Linked DNA regions of Drosophila melanogaster. The protein of the gene in region 1 interacts with the protein of each later gene in a pairwise test. Each region holds a gene or a part of one and is shown in the gene's direction. Other genes may lie near its edges.

Evidence for each region. The genes of interacting proteins can lie anywhere in the genome.
Region 2: the proteins of spab (region 1) and Poxm interact in a two-hybrid assay, tested with the Drosophila melanogaster proteins (one large-scale study listed by BioGRID).
Region 3: the proteins of spab (region 1) and CG10565 interact in a two-hybrid assay, tested with the Drosophila melanogaster proteins (one large-scale study listed by BioGRID).

Annotation. Positions count from the first base shown.
Region 1 is NT_033778.4:8,961,873-8,971,104, reverse strand, and holds spab (space blanket), read left to right. Parts: upstream 1-2,920; 5' UTR 2,921-2,950; intron 2,951-5,570; 5' UTR 5,571-5,628; coding exon 5,629-5,889; intron 5,890-6,619; coding exon 6,620-6,746; intron 6,747-7,099; coding exon 7,100-7,328; intron 7,329-7,384; coding exon 7,385-7,490; intron 7,491-7,549; coding exon 7,550-7,564; 3' UTR 7,565-7,941; downstream 7,942-9,232. Other genes in the region: flz (filzig), read left to right, coding at 1-240, 309-493, 562-677, 742-861, 923-1,087.
Region 2 is NT_033777.3:8,330,793-8,336,388, reverse strand, and holds the start of Poxm (Pox meso), read left to right. Parts: upstream 1-2,596; 5' UTR 2,597-3,264; coding exon 3,265-3,274; intron 3,275-5,596.
Region 3 is NT_037436.4:21,132,750-21,138,856, reverse strand, and holds CG10565 (uncharacterized protein), read left to right. Parts: upstream 1-2,503; 5' UTR 2,504-2,979; coding exon 2,980-3,239; intron 3,240-3,347; coding exon 3,348-3,493; intron 3,494-3,951; coding exon 3,952-5,486; 3' UTR 5,487-5,607; downstream 5,608-6,107. Other genes in the region: Ac78C (adenylyl cyclase 78C), read left to right, coding at 1-53, 109-204, 346-526, 600-1,003, 1,063-1,291, 1,354-1,499, 1,637-1,750; ICA69 (islet cell autoantigen 69 kDa), read right to left, coding at 5,695-6,107.

The DNA of each region.
Region 1 (9,232 bases):
GACTTCTCGAACACTCCCCACTCCTAACCTCGCATTTCACTCCCCATCAACAGAGTGCGGTGTACGGCCCCATGTCAAGTCCGGCCGCATTGTCGGAGGCAAGGGCTCCACCTTCGGCGCCTACCCCTGGCAGGTCCTCGTCCGGGAGTCCACCTGGCTGGGCCTATTCACCAAGAACAAGTGCGGCGGCGTCCTAATCACCAGCCGCTACGTCATCACCGCCGCCCATTGTCAGCCTGGGTAAGCTATTACTCAAACTTATGGTTTTGGTGGGCTTAATTCAGGGATTTCATTTGAATCCTCCGCAGATTCCTGGCCTCTCTGGTGGCTGTTATGGGCGAGTTTGACATTTCCGGCGACCTGGAGAGCAAGCGTTCAGTGACCAAGAATGTCAAGCGCGTCATTGTCCACCGGCAGTACGATCCAGCCACGTTTGAAAACGATCTGGCCCTGCTGGAACTGGACAGTCCAGTGCAATTCGATACCCATATAGGTGAGTTTCATATCATATACATATGTATACTTTAGTAAGGGCTAATCTATTCCTCTTTTCGCCAACAGTGCCCATTTGCATGCCCAATGATGTGGCGGACTTCACTGGACGCATGGCGACAGTGACGGGATGGGGACGCCTTAAGTACGGAGGTGGAGTTCCCTCCGTTCTCCAGGAGGTGCAGGTAAGCACGCAGTGAACAGAGTGTCCTTTAAATTGCGAACTGACCCGGGGCTAATTTAAATTAGGTGCCGATTATCGAGAACAGCGTTTGCCAGGAGATGTTCCACACCGCTGGACACAACAAGAAGATTCTCACCTCCTTCCTGTGCGCCGGCTATGCCAACGGACAAAAGGACTCGTGCGAGGTAAGCTCGGTGAACTCTTTTCTTTTGAAAATGTACCCTAATCCGTCTCACTATCCGACAGGGCGACAGTGGCGGTCCGCTGGTGCTGCAACGACCGGATGGACGCTACGAGTTGGCCGGAACCGTTTCCCACGGCATCAAGTGTGCGGCGCCGTATCTGCCAGGTGTCTATATGCGCACCACCTTCTACAAGCCGTGGCTGCGCAGCATAACGGGCGTGAAATAGGTAGTCGCCTCCACAGTTTTCAAGTTTCTCCCCATCCCAGAGATGGCCAGCGCCAACTAACTGCTGAGGCAGGAGCACCAAGTGTAAATAGAACGTAGAGTTTTAAGAGTCGCGGCTAGAAGCGTGGGAAAGTTGGCTCATCCTTTGCGACGTCGCATCTTCGGACCCCTTCCTCGAACCCCCTCCATGCTACCATCATTTCATTAGCTTAATAGAAAATCAACTGCAGCATTTCAAACGACATTCGCCGGGTATTTCCACATTCCGAGTTAGCGACATTTCGCTTGAGGATGACTGCAGATTTCGTTTTTTTGAGTACGCGTGCCTAACACTTGTAGAGTCTGAATGAGAATTACGCTGATTGCAAAACGTAGGGATAAGACATATTTATTCTAGTTCTAAGCCTATTTATTTGACTATTTATTTATTTATGTGACGTGACGTGAGGAAGCGCGACGATTTGTGCGTTTGATTCAACTAAAAAAATTGTTATCTTCATAGGCAAATTGTTGTTATGTTCAAATGAGAGCGAGAGCAAATGTTTTTAGTTCAATTGAATTTACTAATTTATCGATTTATATTATTAATTCTTTTATCTAAATATGTTAATTGTTAAGTGAACGAACCAATCGAAAAAAAATCGAAATAAACGACATACATTTTAGTAAAAACAAACAAAGGGGTTGCATTTGTAAACTATGATTTCAGAATTTTCTCCAGTAGCTAGCCTTAAAAGTAACTAAAGGTTAAACTTTTATGTATGTATTTTAGCATTGAATGTCAGCTTTACAAAACTCAAAGAGCGGTGGAATTCTTGACATAAACTGAGCTGTAGCCTTGATGCAATTTCCGCCACGCGAGCTTGCTCTCCTTTTTTTGAAAGTTGCCACTTCAGTCAGCCCTAGCTTTTCCCCATTGGGAATATTGTATGTGGTTGCGCCTGGGAGCTTCTGTTTCAGCTTCTCCAGATGTCAATGCTGCTGCTAAATCGACACTAAAGCCACAATCCTTTGGCACCATCTTCATTATTCTATTTAATCACACAGAATTGTTAGCATTTTACCAGCTATTTATTCCATAATTTGTGTCCCTAAATATTATATCATGTGTGAGTAATTCACTGTTAAGAGATAAATCTTTATATTATATGTAGTCCCTGACCAATAACGTATATTTTAAAAACTAAACTGAAAACCAGTCTTTGAGCAATAACTTTTATTCTATTTGAAATAAAATCTAAGTTAACTAAAGATGTTGTTAACATTCAATACAGATCATTCTCATCTCGTGCAGCACTAAACATAATTTACTGGCAAATAAACGTAAATTAATTATACAAAGTACACACAAGTGCAACGCTATTTCCACTCCACGTGGCCAAAATCATTTCCTCATCGAACATTCAGAGCGAAGAGTGAGTGGCATGAGCATACAGCTCTCATTATCCTGATGCACGGAATGTCCTGGAGGGCAGACTCTTTTTATCTCGTTGGGGCAAGCAAATTGCGTGTTTTCCATTTAACAGATTTGCCTGCAGGACAGCCACTCCGAATCAAGGATCCCATTTTGGTAACAAGAGGAGGCTCATTAATTTTGCACCGCTGCCACAAATCACAGTGACGTCATGGCCGAAACTCCCGCAGCCAAAACTCAAAACACACATACACGGGGTATGGTGCGGGCGGAGGGGAGACTCCATTAAAACTGAATCCTAGGAGCTTTGACTGCGCCACAAACACACTTAATTCATAAAAATCCAACTAAAAGCTTCGTAGCCAAAAAGCTCCTTTCCGGCAGCTAGCCGACAGGTGTTGTTTGAGCCATTTCAGACATTCAGTAGCCGACAGGACGCCCAGCCAGCAGGTATGTTGTGCGCCATAAGGACCCCATCCCTCCACCCCGTTCGCGTGCGGCGAAAGTGAAAGTTGACACGTGTATTGGTATAACCAACTCCTTCCTGCCCATGGAATGGCGCAGGACAACTGTGCACCTGCACTTTAAGTGCATCCACGGGCGTGTCGCAGTCAACTACGGCAAATCATGGTCTAATTTCCACCGCGAACCGTTTTTTCGCACTTTAAAGTGGGTCGAGCGTAGGTGGAATTGAGTGGTTGAGTTCAGGCTAAAGCGTAGATATGGAACTGGATATGCCACAAAATGGAATGCCATTACCGGCACAGTGCGTTAGTTAGAGCTAATTCGGCTGGGATTTGATCCCTTTCATTTGATCATTTTTATCTGGTATGGCGTAAAGTGGTGCTTTGTCGAGTTGAATTGCTTTCCACTAAACTTGTTGCTTTTAAATACGATTGCTTAAGCAGGTATAAGAAATGTTGATTTGTCCGTGGAGATCATGCATATAAGTTTTTTTTTAGCACACTTCAGAACCTTGGCAATCCCAAGGTTATTCGCATCTTATATATGTACATCTTGTATACTTAACAAAACTGATGCATTCCCAAGAGAAGACTTTATGATCAGAAACAACGAATCTAGTATTTCTTTGATATCCTTAGTAATACATTTTGCAAATTTTAACTTGTCAGCTATATAATATAGTGGTCCAATTCTGTCCTTTCCGACTTATATTCTGCAATAGAAATGCGACGCATGACAGACATGCCAACTTCATCGCTTCAATATGAATGATTACTTATTCCAACTTTTAATAGTTCCCATGATCTAATAGTTCATACGGACAGACAGACATACAGATGGATATATAAACAATTGTATATTTCATGGCATCTGGTGTACCTTCTGATTATATTCCCTTCTAAGAAATACATTAGCCCTTTCAATAGAATATTTATCGCAATGATCACAGCAAAGGATCTTATTTGTAAGGGCCAAGGTTCGCAGCAAGCATAATTCTCGGAAAAGGTAAAGTTTATGCTCAATTAAGGAACTTTTATCGACTCATCGCCAAAGTGCTTCCAAACTAAAGCCACCTTCCAATCATTGGCAAAGTTTCGGAGAATTTGTAACTATAGAAGAAATACTAATTGCAAAACTTTCCAGTGGCCCAATGCAATTAGAAGTATTTAGCAGCGGATAAAGAAGTCACGTCGCAAGCATGAGCACTTTGGTAAATTAAAGGACGAAAGACACATGGATCAATTTCAATTTCCCTAACGGGTTAAAAAAACAGGACGCCCTTTTTGGGCTGAAACTCAATTAGTCAAGATTTAATAACAGGCTATGGATGACTCCTGTCCTCGGCAACCAAAAGGTCAAAATGCTTGGCAACAAACCCGCGAACTGGGACGACAAGAACTTTGACGAGCCGCGTCCAGTGAAAGTGTGAGAAAGTAATTATAAAAATGCTAAAGGAGAATCATAAAGGGACTCCGCGTTTGTTTAGTCAACCACATTGGCCTGAACCGCCTTCGAAGGCAGGAACATTAATGAAATTGCACTCCCACGCCGGATATTCGTGTGACAGCCGGAAAATATTTTCCCTGGCCTTCGGTGAACCCATTGCCTTTCACCCACTAACTTATTAATGGATGAGTGTTAACAACTGTTGTCAATCGACCGTCCAAAGAAGGTCTAAATCAAGCCAAAAGTATCAAGGTCGTCTGTGCAGCTACAAAGTGCCACCCCAATAAGTAGGCAATTATATATAACAATCTAGCTCGATTCTATTTTAAGGCCAAAATGATGCTATTTCAGTTGAGGGACGAACAGTTACCACTAAGTCGACTTAGTACGCATAACGTAACCCACATTAGAAGTTATTTAAAAGCTGTTTGAGACTGTTCATTCGTTTGCTAGAAGCTTTTGCATAAATTGTTTTAATTACTTTTCCTGGGGGAAGTCATCACGAAACTGAATACAATTAACAACATTTAGCAAATGAAAGGAAAATTCACTTTGAGCTTTCGTGTTCTCCCAGGCAGGCTCAACTTTCACATGTATTATAATTTCCTTTTAAAACTTGCAAATATGAATATTCTTTAAATGTGCATCTTTAATTGAGTTTAATGAAATACTTGAATAAGCTAAGTTTCCATTTCCTTTAATTTTTAACGATTCTTAACTTATACCTTCGGCATACATTAACGATTTTTGCTTATTTGGTTGATGGCTTATTAAGCTAACGTGCAAAAGTAGGCAATATGCTAAAATTGCATAATTTATTGTTACCCACCGACTTTATATGTGAGCCTTTCATCAGGCCATACAAATGGAGACACGAGAGTGAACCAAGTCTGAGAATACATAAATTAAGGCACAGCCGGTAATATAATAACGCTAAAAGCAAGCCGACAATTTTAATGAGCTGCCCGACGGGGATATTTGCCGGGAAAACGTTAATAGAACCGCTGATGCGATTCTGAGCTGGAAGACAGAGATTTATATGCCCCACGCTCCACTCGAGCGCTTGAACACGGAAGTTTGCTCCTCCCGGAGGTCAGCAATCGACTCCTGGGCGGGCATACGTTTTAATTAAGCGTGTACTCGGTTTCCATTTTCACAGTTCATCGGGAGAAGGAGAGCGGGCTTTCCACTAGTGATGATGTACTAACGTGACCACTATGAGCATTTTTCCGAGGTGGGCAGCCATGCTGCTGCTCCTGGGCCTGGCCCACCAGCTGGACCCCTCGCTCGCGGCGTCCGCATCCTCGTTCGCATCCGGAAACGCCTGGCAGCGCGCCCTATTTGGCCGGGAATCGCGCAACTTGATGCACCGCAGAGCCCCGTTTTCCGGAGCCGCTGATCTGGGCCTTGACGAATACCTGGGCCCCTATGGCGCCGTCGAGCAGGAGCAGCACCAGCCGCATCCTCCGCCGCAGCAGGTGAGTGCATGAGTGGAGGTTGTGATTGCAGGTATTTGCAGGACGAAACTACAGGGTATGTGTACAGTAAAACGGGATGATGGGCAATGTCTGCAGCTAGGAAAATGGATTCGTTTATCTAACGAAGTTTTTAAAGGAAGGCTGAAAAGCTATTTCGATTGTAAATTGTCTAAACCAACAGACAGGACAATTTTCAAGATTTAGTTTTATTTCAAGTAATTTTAATTTATTAGAAAAGCATGAAAAAAACTCTTTTACTTTCTGATTTAAAAACAATCTTTTGAGCATACGATTTTAAAATTCAAATGAATGTGTGCTCTTGAAAAATGGCAATCTTTTAATGCATGGAAAAAAGATTCCTGGCTTAAGCAGCTAGAGGCGACTCCCAAACTCAATAAAAATCGCACCACTCGAACACATCTGAAAACGCATACGCCGTGTGGGCGTGCCACAAATATCCGAAGGCGTCTGGCGCCGTGTTTTGCAGCAATTTGAAATTGGAACCCGTATGCTTGTATGGTTTTATTGGCCCACTGGATCAATGGTTTCAATCAACGGAAATTTCAGAGTTCGCGCTGAAACTCAAATTAATTAACGCGCAACGAGTGTCAGCGTTATTGATAGCCAACCAACTGCTGCAGCGCAGTAAGGGGATATACATATAGCGCATACGCACCGTGCGCCCAACAAATGCCACACTAATTGCCACCGCACTCGACCTTCCCCACAGATGCGCCAACAGACCGAAGTTTACGGAATCGTGGAGCCGCTGATTGAGGACACGCCCTGTGCCGACCGACCCTGCCTCCTCAACGACGATTGCTGTCCTTCCGGAGTTTGCGTCAGCACATACGGCGGTAAGTTGGTCTAATTGCACTTGGTCCGCTGTGACCCAACCCACTCACTTACACTTGGAATAGCTAATGCTGACAATAGCTAATGAGACAATACTTGGAATCATCCTAGACAAACAAAATTTTAAATATGGGATTAAAACATTTGAAAGAAAGTGGACACCAGACTGAAACTAGCATTAGGATCTACTTGGCTATTGACCTGGATCAAGAGCCTATTGTACTTTAAGGTGTTGGAAAGGTTTCTTTCTATCTATTGCACTATTTCCTTAAAAATAAGGATAAATTTTTTACATCAACTGATGCTATTCTACAACCCATTACAAAAATGTTATATAAACTCTATCATTTTGCAGAAGGCAAATGCGTATATGTCTTTGGGCGTCAGCGAGATCTGTGCCAGGGACATGCGGACTGTCCGCAGGGCAGCTCCTGCATGCTGGTCCCCCAGGAGGGAGCGTGGCGGTGTGAGCCGAGCGTGGAATCGGGAGGATCCACGTCGCTGCTGGAGGGTATATTCGGAGCGAAGGAGAGGCAACCGCTGGGCAGCGAGTGCAGCAGCAGCAGCGACTGCCAGGTGATCAAGTGAGTCCGCATAGCGCTGATAAGCCCAATTCAGGTCTAACTGTCCCACTTTCCAGCGGAATGTGCTGTCAACAGCAGCGTTTGCACCACCGGGCAGCCATTAAGCTGAGCTGTGGCTACTTTCGCGATGCCTTCGACTGTGTAGATATGGTCGGAGCAGAGGTATGGATATAGTCCAAAAACAAAAATACGAATTTGAGTTATATTATATTCCCGTACAGCATCGACGCAACTGAAGATCGCAGTTCTCGGGTAGCAAAGCTCATTAAACCGAAGGAAAGTAGCCAAACAGCAATTGAATTGGATTGAGTATGAATTACTTCAATATTGAAACATATCAAGTTGTTAAACAAATACATATCAAGGTCAAATTGCTATAGCTTAGAGCATTTGTATTTCTATAATCTGCATATGAATATTTGCTATTACTCAAACGATCTTAGACATCTAGATGTGTTTTTAGTAGAGACTCCAAATATACTGACTGAGGCATTCAATGTTAATAGCAGAAAGAAGAGTATTCCAATGCAGTTTTACCATACTTAAGCAACAATTAAATCGTTTCACGTCTAAATGTAAATCGAATACAATAAAAGCATTACCAAATATCTGCACTTTCACTGAAACTTATTTGGTAACAATATATTCGTATTTGAATGAGAGAAAGGTAAGTTAACGGATTTATTCTTGGGACTAATATATTATTAACTCTTAAAAATATATATATTAAATTGAGTTCAAACAAGTTCAAATTTTAGTAAAACAAAAACACAACTAGACGCACCTATAAACTAGTGACGAATGCACCTGAACAACATAGAAGACTTTTGATGTGGCGAAAGCACCAAGTCTTATGACCCAAAATAAACTTACATAATAAATTTTATGTTCTTGCCCAAGCAAACTTAATGAATTAATAGTTGAAAATACACCAGAAGATAGTGAATAAAAACCGCAGAAAATTCTTTACAAATATTTTCGGTTGATTTTATTTTTGTAATTTTATTTAAAGTGCCATTAAAAACGCAGCTTAAAGCTAAAAGTTAGACTCTGTTTACACTTTCAACGCTTTTGTTTTTAACATTACACCCAAGTAAATCATTCCTCCTTTCGTTCTTCAACTCTCTGACATTCTATATATCTCTCATGATCCAATCCATTCACGAATAATACACATTGCAAATGCTTTCGTCCCTAACTTTATGGCTGAGACACTTACTTCGCTTACTTGAGCCTAACATAAACCGCACAAGGTGCATCGTTTTAGTTCTTGAATTCTTGTAAATTTCGAACCAAAAGTGTGGTTTGCCAGCAAAATAGGATTTATTTTTAAAATTAATTTTTATATGTTTTTTGCGCATGTTCAAGTCTTTTGTTGATTTTATGTTCTTCGGTTTAAATTGAATCTTAAACTCAGTTTTTTTTTTAAGTTGTTTTTGGTTTGGATCAGGGACTAAGGTCGTGGGCTTTAGGAAGTGCCCCACTTCGGAGGTTGTATTGGGGGTTAGTCTTAAGAACAACTTTCGGCTTAAACTTAGCTTGGAACAGTCAAACAAATATCAAGTCCGCTATCCTTCGAAACTTGTCTCTCATTTTTTGTTTGACTCGCATGCACTGAATGCACAGATTATTTACAGATTTTACAATTACAGGAATAGTTTCAAAACCTAAATATACGTACGCGAATAGAGCTATAAATTTAGTTTAGATTTGTTTTCCAAAGAAATCGATTGTGTTCGTACAGGATGTGATTAACTTCAGTAAAGCTTAAATTAAATTAAAATAGGAAAGTAAATTTCGCAGACCGAAAAAATAACAATATGAAGGTACTATTTAATCATAACCCTAATTACAATCTTTCTCTTACTCTTAGCTTACATCGAAATGAATAAAATGTTAATTAA
Region 2 (5,596 bases), on another chromosome or scaffold:
AAAGCGGCGATTTCCATTGTTAAAGGACTGTGCAATATGATAATTTTATACGAATAATAAATGAAAAAATGTATTGATAACAATTAATAAGGTGTACTTTATAAGTTAAATTCTTTTCAAAACATATATCCAAACTTCTGTATCTATAATTCCAAAGTGTTTTTTCCCAGTGCATAGTCCCCGCCCATCTGGCGCAATCTTATGTAACTTGTCCTCCTCCTCTGACTTATATGTGTCAATTTAATAGCGCATTTGCCACTTTATGACATACGATGCTGCTCCTGGTACTTGGACTCCTTTTCCCAAGTCCCTGGTGTTAGCTCCTTTGTTTTCTCAAGTGCCTGGCAGATTCCACATCGACTCCTTCCACTCCCGCTTGTTTTATAACACAGGAAGATACAACTGGAAAGTATCCGTGAAGGAGAAAAAAATAAGCGGAAAACGCACAGTGTTCATTTGTTATGCTTGTCATTTGTCGCTGGCTGCCGGCGACTTCAAAGCCTGTCACCCAATTTGTTAAACGCGGAGACAATTTTGTCATCAGCTCCCCCAATTCTTTATCCCCAATGCTTTAGTCATCAAATTGAAGCTTTGGCCGCCGGGGAAGAATTCTTGGTTTTCGCATATGGCCAATTATTTTGTAAGTCGATCCATTACGTATCGGAGATTTACTTCTTAGCGTTTGGATTATTTTATTAAAAGATTTACTTAATTGTTTTTAATGATTAAATAAAGCTCTTCAACTTGATCTATTATTATCTATCTAGTATTACTAAATAAAAAGAAAAAAATTGTTTACTCTATGATGATTTTGTGTTTCCCTTTAATCATTTCGTTCTTAAAAGTAAGTAGAAAACTGAACAAGAAAATGCATTGTTTTTACAATATTATTTAAATAATATGTATTTATGTTTATTACAAAATCAAAATGCCAATGTAATAGATACATTTTAAATGTTTTTAAAATTTATATAAAAATTATAAAAAATTAAAAAGACAAGTAATTTAACAATAATGAATTGTATTAGGAGAGTTTAGTTTAAATTTTTTAAAGTACATTGTAACTATAAGAATTATTTGTTTTAAAACAAAGGCAATGTCGGAAATGGCGTTCGTCAAACCACAAAATGCAGGGAAATGCAGTCGGCAATGAGCAGAAATCAGAAAGTGACAGGGAGAGGGCCAATTGGATTCGCAACAAAAGGTATGAGCAGGTAAGCGTAAGCCAACTCAAGGAGGTGTGTCCAACGCGCAACAGTGTGTGTGGGCCAAAACACACACACACGCGCACTAAGTGCACACACAGCCATGCTAAACAGCCAGCGAAGAGAGCGAGCACAACATTAAGAATAGCAAGAGCGGCGATTTGACCATTTTAATGAGGGAATGACAACGACAATTGGCATCTATCATTAAATGGCGGTATTCAGAATTAGTGACAATCAGATGAAGACGGCATTTCTTATAATTAACTCTAACCAAGCAAGACGCAACGCCTCAGCGAGAGTTGGCATCACGCATACGCCGCATTGGCCGGGAGGTGGATCCCTGGGGATCTACGGGGTTAGCTGTCTGTGCCGCTTTATTAGCGATATGGCTTTCTTAATGAACCAAAAATAGATGCACGCGCTCCGAGAATTCCCACAGCCCCGCCCCTTTCCTTTTCCTTCCGTTTCTCTCCTTCTATCCTTCTCCCTCGGCTCCTTTTTCGTCTGCTCCTCATCTGTGTGACACTAAGAAGTCATGACATCGCTCGCCCACCCTGCGTAACGCTACGGATACGCTTACTTGCTTCAGATTGGCCATTCAAGCATTCAGAAATTAACTCCGCCCGGTTGCGTATGCTCACTCACTCGGTTCGGTTCGTCTGTGTAGGTATTGCAGCGGAGAGAGAGCGAGAGTACGAATTCCGATCCATGGATACACCCACACATCCGTTGGCACACAAACACAAAGTTGAGCGACTACAGGAGCGGTAACTGGGGAAAAAAGGAGAGATGGGTTGTTAGCTTAGTTTATTATCCATCAGCAAGAAAACGGAAATATGTTATGATAAATAATAAAAAAATTGTATAGATTATTGTGTATAACTTGATGTAATAAAGTCTTAAAAACCTTCTTCTAAACTTCTGAATTCGATCTCTTTATTAAAATATTTAATTTATATGAACCCTTTACTTTAAACACTTACAAGATATTTCGATACCAAAGTTACTGGCGCCTTAACTCTTCTGGGCTTACCCTCAATTCGCTGCCTGCGCTCCTGATCGCTGAAAGACATTCTTCATTTTTATTATTTGCCCGCGGTCCACCAACAAACGCACACCAGTGCGCGATCATCGCCATTAAAACCCACATATACGCTCGACCGACCGCCCCTTCCTCTCACGGATGAGTGTGTGTGTGCTTGCGGAGGAGAATGCGGAGAGTGAGAAAAAGAGAGAGCGAGATCTTGGGATGCTGCGTCGACGCGGTGGCTTCCACTTCCACTTGAGCCTGTAGATGTGGATGTGACTGTGGCTGTGGTGGTGATATTCAATGTGTGCGTGGACGTGGATTGTGGGCGATCTTGATCGGCAGCGCCGCGGGCAGCGTTAGTCGCAGCAGACACGGGTGACGAGCAGCAACGATCGTTTTTGGAGAGCGCGCCAGGTTTTCCCGATCCAAACCGTTCCCAACCGATACGCTACGACCCGATACGCTAGAGCAAAAAGGCCATCGAAAGATTTAAAGGCGCGCGCACGGATCAGTGAATGCTGTTTAAATCGGTTCATTTGCAAACCATCAATCGCACGGGAGGTCCGCCAGTCAAGTCCAAAGTAAACCGACATAATTCCCAAAATCAAAGCATAACAAACCCATTGTAGTGTCATTAAGTGTGTGTAGTTCCCGCTTCCCCAATAAGGTGTGATAAGTGCGTGATAATTTTCGAGCCAACCTACTCGAGAGCGATCGTTTTGGCCCGAAAATGTGCTAATCAGATCTCAGTCTTGGTTCACGGCATAGTAGGCATCGCAGCCCGATGCTGTCCCGCACAACTGGCGCCAATTTGTATACAAATTTCATGCCTTAATTGAAACTCACATTATAGCCAAGTGCGAAAAGTTAACGACTAGGTAACCACCGACAATCCCCAGCAAAGCAGAGTCCAACTATTCCGGCGAATCCAATCGGAGAAAGTTCCACGGCGGAGTTGGCGAAAGGCAGATTTGGGTGCCCACAATTGCAATTCTGGAGTTCTTCAATCAATTGCCATCGGCCGAAATGGACCCAGGTATGTCTCAATCCATGACTCACAAAGATATAGGCCTCAGAATTCATTTCCAAATTAAAATTTTTAGATCTATCGGCATTTTTGAGGTGCCGACGGCATTGGGTTTCTTTAAAAAGCGTAGTAGCTATTTTATTGATAGATTTGGGTTAATATAATCAGAAAAACAAGAATATGTATATTGCAGGAAATATTGATAAGACTTTTGAAATCACATTTCCCTCTCTATCTTAAAATATAAGGTAACGAAAAGACAAATTCAAAAGTAGCACTATATTTTCACTTAAATCTCTTAACTTAAGCCCGCCACTCGAGTGTTTTGCCAATAAAGCCCTCTTGTCCGATCCTCCAGCCAAGTCCTTATCCGGATCCCCTAACTGCTTGGGATAAACACAATCGCTCGCTGGACCAACTTCTTTTTTTTTTTTTTTTTTTTTTTGGGCAACATCAAGAGGCAGATGTTTGCTTTTGATTTTCGTTTCAAAAGGCTGCCGTCGCTTGGCGCATGATCGACAGCCTCGCGGTAGCCGCGGCACTTGTTTGACTTTCGATGATGTCGCCGACGTCCGCACACGTACCCGATTCCAAAACCCAAAACCCTAAACCGAAAATCCAAAACCCATAACCCCAATCCCAATCCCAAACTCCGGAGCCAAGGCTCCTAATTTAACTAATGATCGTTGTAATGTTTCTGCCTTTGTCGTGCGGTCTTCACTTTTGGCTCCAAGTGTCCGTGTCTCTGTTTGTCCATGTGCTTTGGGCCAAAAGCAAAATGCGAGTGCAAGACATGGCCTTATGGCCGAAAACTACGCTACACAAGTGTGTAAAGATTTGATCAGTTCTCTCAGTTGTTGACAAACATGTGCGCAATCGAATAATTTGGCATGCGTCGATTTACTTTTACAAATTTCGAATTGCTTAGATCATCTTTTGAAATAATTTGCCAATAGTTTTCAATTTCTATGAGTGACATACAAGTGTGACTGACTATGGGTAATCTTTTATAATGGTATTCCCCACTTAGTTTCAAGTATTTATTTGTTTGCTTGAGCCTCTTTATGGCAAAGTATCAAAAGGACATACACGAATATATATTTTTCCACTTGTCCGAGCTGAAAAGAAGTTATAAGTCGGCTAGGAGGTCCCGCACTTTTGGTCCATTAATGACATGCTTTCGATGTTTTGACATTCTGTTTGTACGCCAGCATTGTTTGCTCACTAGGAGACGTCGAAAAAGATATAGACGCCGATGCAGACCCATGCTCATGCCCGAACCCAAACCAAAACCCAGACTCTGGACCAGAGGTGCAGAAATGCGTGACTAACGGCCACCGGTAGCCATCTACTTCGGTAGCTAAACATGAAAAGCCCACCAGACGCGGGCCGCAAGTGCAAGATGTTAAAATCACAGAAGGGGCAGTAAAACAAAAGGCGCAGACGATGGCCACGAAAGGCAGGCAAACACTTGAGATCCGAGGAGGAAAACGTCGCGTCAATGTGTACATGCCTTAATGGAAGAGTCTATATGGTATGGGAGTAGGTGCCCAGGAGCAGCGACTGCGGGAGGATGCGGCGGGGACTGATCTGAAAGCCCGACCAGTAGCTTCCTCCCGTGGATACCGATGATTGCGGTTCGGGTTTGGGAAAACGCTTCACTGCCTCGGCTTGATTGTGTGGCGTCGTTTCCCCTGAGTTCTTTAATTAAATCACATCCCCGACCGCTGATGCGGAACATTCATTAAGCGCATTTGCAGTCATTTTGGGCATTGCTCGGCGAGCTTAAAAAAGTTGCACTAAATAGGCTTTGAGTATAATTAAAACCTCCAAAACCCTTTGCATTTTATCCTTTGAATAGTATGTTCTACTTTTTGTTGTAATATGCTAGGTTTCTCACTGTAGATCAGTTGACATTTGCTCCCTTTGGGCGTGGACATCTCCCCATGGATCCACAACCTCTGACATCTGACAAGTGTAGTTCATGTTCTTGGAAGCAAACTCAGCTCATTACCATATATTTAATGAGTTTCTAATCGTTAGGGGGCACGTGTTTGAGCCAGTTCATTCTGGGATAATGAATGCGATCGCATCAATAAGCGGGCGGCTAACATCTGGTTCTAACCCCTAACCCCTAGACTCTAACCCCTTGAGATGGCCTGTGTCAAGTCCCATGGGGGCGATGGCGACCCAAAACCGGAACTGCCACAATCATTCCAAACTCCATTTCTCAGTCTCGAATTTGGAGTCCTAGGATCAGAGCTGTGAAACTGGCTATTTTCCAGCTAGCTCTAGAAGTTCATTTCATACAATAAAATGATATGAAATTAT
Region 3 (6,107 bases), on another chromosome or scaffold:
TACTGCTAATATCCTTCCTGGTGATGGTCTGCTACCATGCTAGATTGGTGGAGGTAAGAGAAGGTGCGACCAATGCTTTCGACCCATCACTCATTCCGATTTCCCCAGGTAACCTCGCGTCTGGACTTCATATGGAAGGAACAAGCCGAGCGTGAACTGACCAACATGAAATCCAATCGCGCGCTTAATGACACATTAATTAAGGTAAGATATTTGGTCAAATACACAGGGCCAAAAAAGGGGATAATAACCATGAAATAGGAAGGGGAAAATGTAACCCAATTCTATTTTGGTCTACCTGCTCCTTCCTCTGCATTTTTCATTAATTAAACCATTTGATTGCAGAACATTCTGCCGGACCATGTAGCCACCTATTACCTATCCGACGAGCACACGGACGAGCTCTACTCCAAGATGCACAATCTCTGCGGCGTGATGTTCGCCTCCATTCCGAACTTCCAGGACTTTTACTCCGAGGACATCGACAATGGCAAGGCCTGTATACGTATTCTCAATGAGATTATCTGTGAGTTGATTGATTAAGCATTGTCTCCCGGTTGCAAATGTCTAATGATGCCGCACGGCACAAATCAAACCAGGTGACTTTGATGAATTGCTGGAGGAGCCACGATTCGCATCGGTGGAGAAAATCAAAACAGTGGGTGCCACGTATATGGCGGCAGCGGGATTAAATCACGAGCATCTCAGACTTCGCGGCGAGACCTCCGAGGATAGTGTCTGCGACCTGGTGGAGTTCGCATTTGCCATGAAGCAAAAGCTGGAGGAGATCAATGGGGATGCCTTCAATAACTTCCAGCTGCGTGTGGGCATCTGCAGTGGTCCTTTGGTAAGTGGAGTGATTGGAGCCAGGAAACCGGTCTACGATATCTGGGGCAATACGGTCAATGTGGCATCACGAATGGACTCCACGGGCGAGAACTGGCGAGTTCAGGTTCCGGAGAATACGGCGGAATTGCTTTGCTCCAGGGGTTACACGTGTGTGGTAAGTGGGTCTTTTGTTACCTATCCCGAATTCTTATACGTTTTTTCAAAATCCCACAGAAACGTGGTGAAATCGCTGTGAAGGGCAAGGGCATGATGACCACCTTTTATGTGCATCCCAAGGGAATATCGGAGAGCCAGCTGATCTCACCGGTTCGCATGCCAGCCGGGATTCCCCTGGCCCAAACCCCGAATCTTCAGCGGCAGACCTCCCATCATGGATCCTTCAGTGCCGTGGTTTTCGGAATGCTTCAGGCTAGCAAACGCAGCACAGCCATTGCCGGAACACGTAAGTGTTCCTTTCGGGTAACTTAAAATTCTTATAACATTAATTTGATTCTAATGCTTAAGCCACGGGCACTCCTTCGCCGCAAATCCGTCGAGGACATCGGGGAAGCACGTTCAGCTCGGTCCGGTTATCCCAAAAGTCCACCACGGTCAATCCTGTGCGCCGGAATACAACCCGTGTTCGGGGACGTTCATATCGACAGAAAAAGGTACAATACGTAGTGTTTCAAAAATTATTATATATCAAATAGTATTTAAGTTGTTCATATGATTCTGTTTAATTAGAAAGAGTATTTTCTAGAACCTATCTTATATAATGATATATTTTTCCTATTCAATATTTTAGAGTTCCTCCAACAACTCGATCGTCACGCAGGCCAGCTCTAGCTATATGCCCTCGTTCCGACGGATCGACCAGATCGAGACGACGATATCGAAGAGCCACAACGATGCGTTATAGCCGAGTACGCGCACTCACTGGGTCTAAGTCGATCTCAAGGCGATAGAGTGTCTGATGAATTTATTTTTGGAACGATTTTATACAAATGGAGTTACGCCGGCATATGTTTCAAAGTTTGGCTTAACACTGAAATGAAATGGTGGAGAACGACACTGAAGCTACTTAGTAGAATTTTTAAATCACCATACTTGAAGTTGCAAGAATTACATTTATCTCAGCACAATTCTAGTCGTTAAACTTAAGAACTGTCGTTTATATGTGTGCGTTTCAAATCTGTTTAGAGTAAGATATTTGGATCTTCCCACAAAAGCCAACCATACGAAATGCCAATGAACCTACTAGCTTCGTTCAATTCAACCATAATGTGTACCAACTAGTTTTCTAGTACTAATAGTCAATTTAACAGCCAGTAATCAATTAGAAAACCAAATATTAGTTGTACAAACCGTTTCTTTTGATCAAAGAGCGGAAATGTAAATAAAGTAAGCATACTTATGTATAAAATATTTTACGACCATCTAAATGTAATGAGGTCAAGTGTTACTGAAATGTGAAATGGATTTTGGCAAATAAAAGGTGTATTACTATACAGCCAGCACTTATTTAGCACTTTAATTGTAATTATACAATTCGTTATAAATAAATGTGATAAGCAAAACTAACAAATGGTAGAACTTAATGGTTTTTGGAATATACGTCAAGTTATCATTCAAATGAATTATAAACAGTCGTTTTCTTAACTATTGTATGACACTTTCTTTTTTTAGTGGCCCATTATAACAAAAACTCGAATGTGGAATGTATTTAATAGTGTAGGATTTGTTATGTAATGAACGTGGATTAATAATTTGTTAAGACGGTTAACTAAATATATAAATCATAAATAACCATTAGTTGAGATACGGTCACACTTTGGCGCCAAACCAATACAACAGTTGCCATTCGATTTTAGCTATAGCAGCTGGCAGCACTGCCAATAAGTGCCAGCGATACATGCTTGCTGTTATCGATCAAATATAGAGTAGGAAGCCAATCGATTTTACCAGCGCCATAATCGATGATGGCATCGATGTTTCACCACCACTAGTCGAAACACATGCGGTGCTGCGGAAAAGTGTGATTATTAATTGGATTTCGACGTTTTGAAGGCAGCGGATCGCCAAATTTTGAGTAACGTGAATCCACAGGAGTGGCGGTGAATGCCCATTAACCAGCGGACCTGACCAGAGATGACGAGCGGTACGGTAGCAACGGCGGTGGAGGTGCAGCTGCCGCTCAAGGTCGTTCGCCGTAAAATCGAGCGCGTTGGCTTCGCTTACTTTGCGCAACGGCGCCAATTTCTAGCTCCCGGCGGCGTGGAGCGCAGCGAAAGCGATGAGAAATTGGAGGGCGTGGGCGAGGAGGTGGACATCAGCTACCTAAAGTCGCTGGATCCTAAGGAGTGGAAGGACCAGGATCATTACGCCGTTCTTGGCTTGGGCAAGCTCCGGTTAGTGCGACGGCAGCACGTGGTGTTCTTCCCATGTGTTCGTTTCTATCAATATTTAATGGGACTTCCCCAACTAATACTGTATTGTCTGACTAAATCACCCTTTAGATACGAGGCCAGCGAGGATGATGTTCGACGGGCTTACAGGCGCATGGTTCTGCTGCACCATCCCGATAAGCGGAAAGCCAAGGGCGAGGAAGTCATCCAGGACGATGATTACTTCACATGCATAACCAAAGCTTACGAGATACTGGGTGGGTGTCAAGAAAATGTCCTTGCTGATCCTTGGGTGTCCTTCGGACTTCGCATTGCCCATGCAAATCGACAGATAAGAATATTTTGATATTAATTTTCAGAGCATTTGCTTAAGCTATATAAAATTATGATACCATACAATCCTGTTGAGTATAATAATCAATTAAGATTTTAAATTATCTGAAACTAATTTATACTCGATCTAATTCATTGGTGTGCTGTTGCCTTTGTCTAAGCGCGCAGAACTTGAAGCTTTATTTTTGCATATCTAAAAATAGGACTAGTTGTTTGCTCTCACATTCTTTTAAACAAAATGCCAAATTATAACTTACTATTATACAACAGAATTTTTTTGGCTTTAAACACTTTGAATAATTGTAAACAATTGTACGAAATAGACAGGAAGATTTTAAACTATTTCCTCTTAAACCATCTAATACTCCATCTTGTATTCCAGGCACATCCAAGCCGCGCCGCAGCTTTGACTCAGTGGATCCCGAGTTTGACGACTCGCTGCCCTCACAGAACGACATCGATAACGACTACTTTGGCGTATTTAACAAATTTTTCACACTTAACGGGCGCTGGAGCGAAAAGCCGCATGTTCCCTCCTTCGGGCAGGTGGACGCCAAACGCGAAGAGGTGGAGCGCTTCTACAACTTCTGGTACGATTTTAAGTCATGGCGGGAATTCAGCTACTTGGACGAAGAGGACAAGGAGAAGGGCCAGGACCGCGACGAACGTCGCTGGATCGAAAAGGAGAACAGGGCGGCTCGAATCAAGCGCAAGAAGGAGGAAATGTCTCGTATCCGGTCGCTCGTCGATTTAGCCTACAACAATGATAAGCGCATTCAGCGCTTCAAGCAGGAGGAAAAGGATCGCAAGGCTGCTGCCAAGCGAGCCAAGATGGACGCCGCCCAGGCCCAGAAGGCAGAAGCTGATCGTGCCATCCGTGAAGCGGCTTTGGCCAAGGAGAAGGCTGAAAAGGCCGAGCAGAAACGCATCGAGCAGATCCGCATCGAACGCGAGCAGCAGAAAAAGCTGCTTAAGAAGGAGCGCAAAACGCTGCGCGACAAGGTCAAGGACTGCAAGTATTATGCCAAGAACGACAAGGATCAGCTGAAGCACATGGAGGGCACCGAGAAGATTTGCGAGACCTTCAATCTGGCAGAGCTGCAAGCTCTAAATAAGGCAATGGAAAGCAAGGGCCGTGAGTCGTTTGTTGCTGCCCTTCAAACGGCCGAGCAGAAGATAGCTGCCGAGTTGGAGGAGATTAACCAGACACAGGCCAAGAAGCTTGCCAGCTCAGCGGCCACGCCAAAAGGCGTTAAGGAGGTCAAGAAGAATGAGCTCTGGAGCAATGAGAACGTGCAGTTGCTTATCAAGGCGGTTAATCTGTTTCCCGCTGGCACTGCACAGCGTTGGGATGTCATAGCCACTTTCATTAACCAGCATAGCCCGGATAACACTGTTCTGGTCAATGCCAGGGATGTGCTCAACAAAGCCAAGGCGCTCCAGAACACAGATCACTCGAAGAGCTCCCTGAAGACTCAAGCCAACGATGCGGCATTTGCCAGTTTCGAGAAGTCCAAGAAAGATGTTCAGACGTGTAAGGATATAACCCTGGGCGAGGAGACGGCCCAGGCGAGCAAGGAGAACTTGAAACAAAACGGTGTAGATCATAAGGCGAACAATCAGTCAACCAAGCAGAATGGCACGGCTCCAGCTCCAGCAAACCCCACGGCTGCACCAGCCCCAGTTCCGGCCACAAATGGGTCTACGGGCGGCGGTGCTGCCTCCAAAACCTGGACCAAGGAGGAGCAAGCCCTGCTCGAACAGGCCATTAAAACCTATCCAACGACGACACCCGATCGCTGGGATTGCATCGCCGCCTGCATACCGAATCGCAGTAAAAAGGACTGCTTACGTCGCGTCAAAGAGCTGGTCGAGCTGGTTAACTCCAAGAAGGAGGCACAGGCGGCGGTCAAATGAGTGCGGCTCCTGCTCCACTTTACCTGCCTCTCGTCCGCCTCATCCACTTCTAGCTGCTGTGTCCCATATAAATTTTATTTAAATAAAACATAAAAAGTTTTTGAACGTTTAGCGAAAAGTTACATCCAAAGATTCTCCATTTTGACTAGCTAGTTTCCAACGGTATATGCAGATCAACAAATATAATCTGTGCGGGAGGGTAATCTGCTCAGGTCTGCTCGGCCACACTGCGTCCGCCGCTCAGTTTTAAATCGAAGGCTTGCGGATTGGCTAAGGGATCCAAGTCGGCGAAAAGATCCAGCCAGGGATTGTTGGTGGTCTGCGATTTGCTGGGAACCGGGGTGGCGCCACCTGCACTTGCCTTCGAGTCCGTGGCTACTTGGCTCGGTATGGGTTGCTGATTCTGCTGGCTAAACAAGCGGGACCATAGCTTGTTAGTGCTATTTTGGGCAGGTATATCTTCATCCAGCGGCGCATCTATTAGAGGACTGTCCTCCAGCTGCTTGGAAAGCTCAATAAGCAAGGATTCATTGTCGCCGCAGGCATTGGGAGGTGCACTTGGTTTGTCCTCTTCGGACTCCTTGATTTCCGGCTGGGTTTCCAGCTTGTCCTGGTACTCGT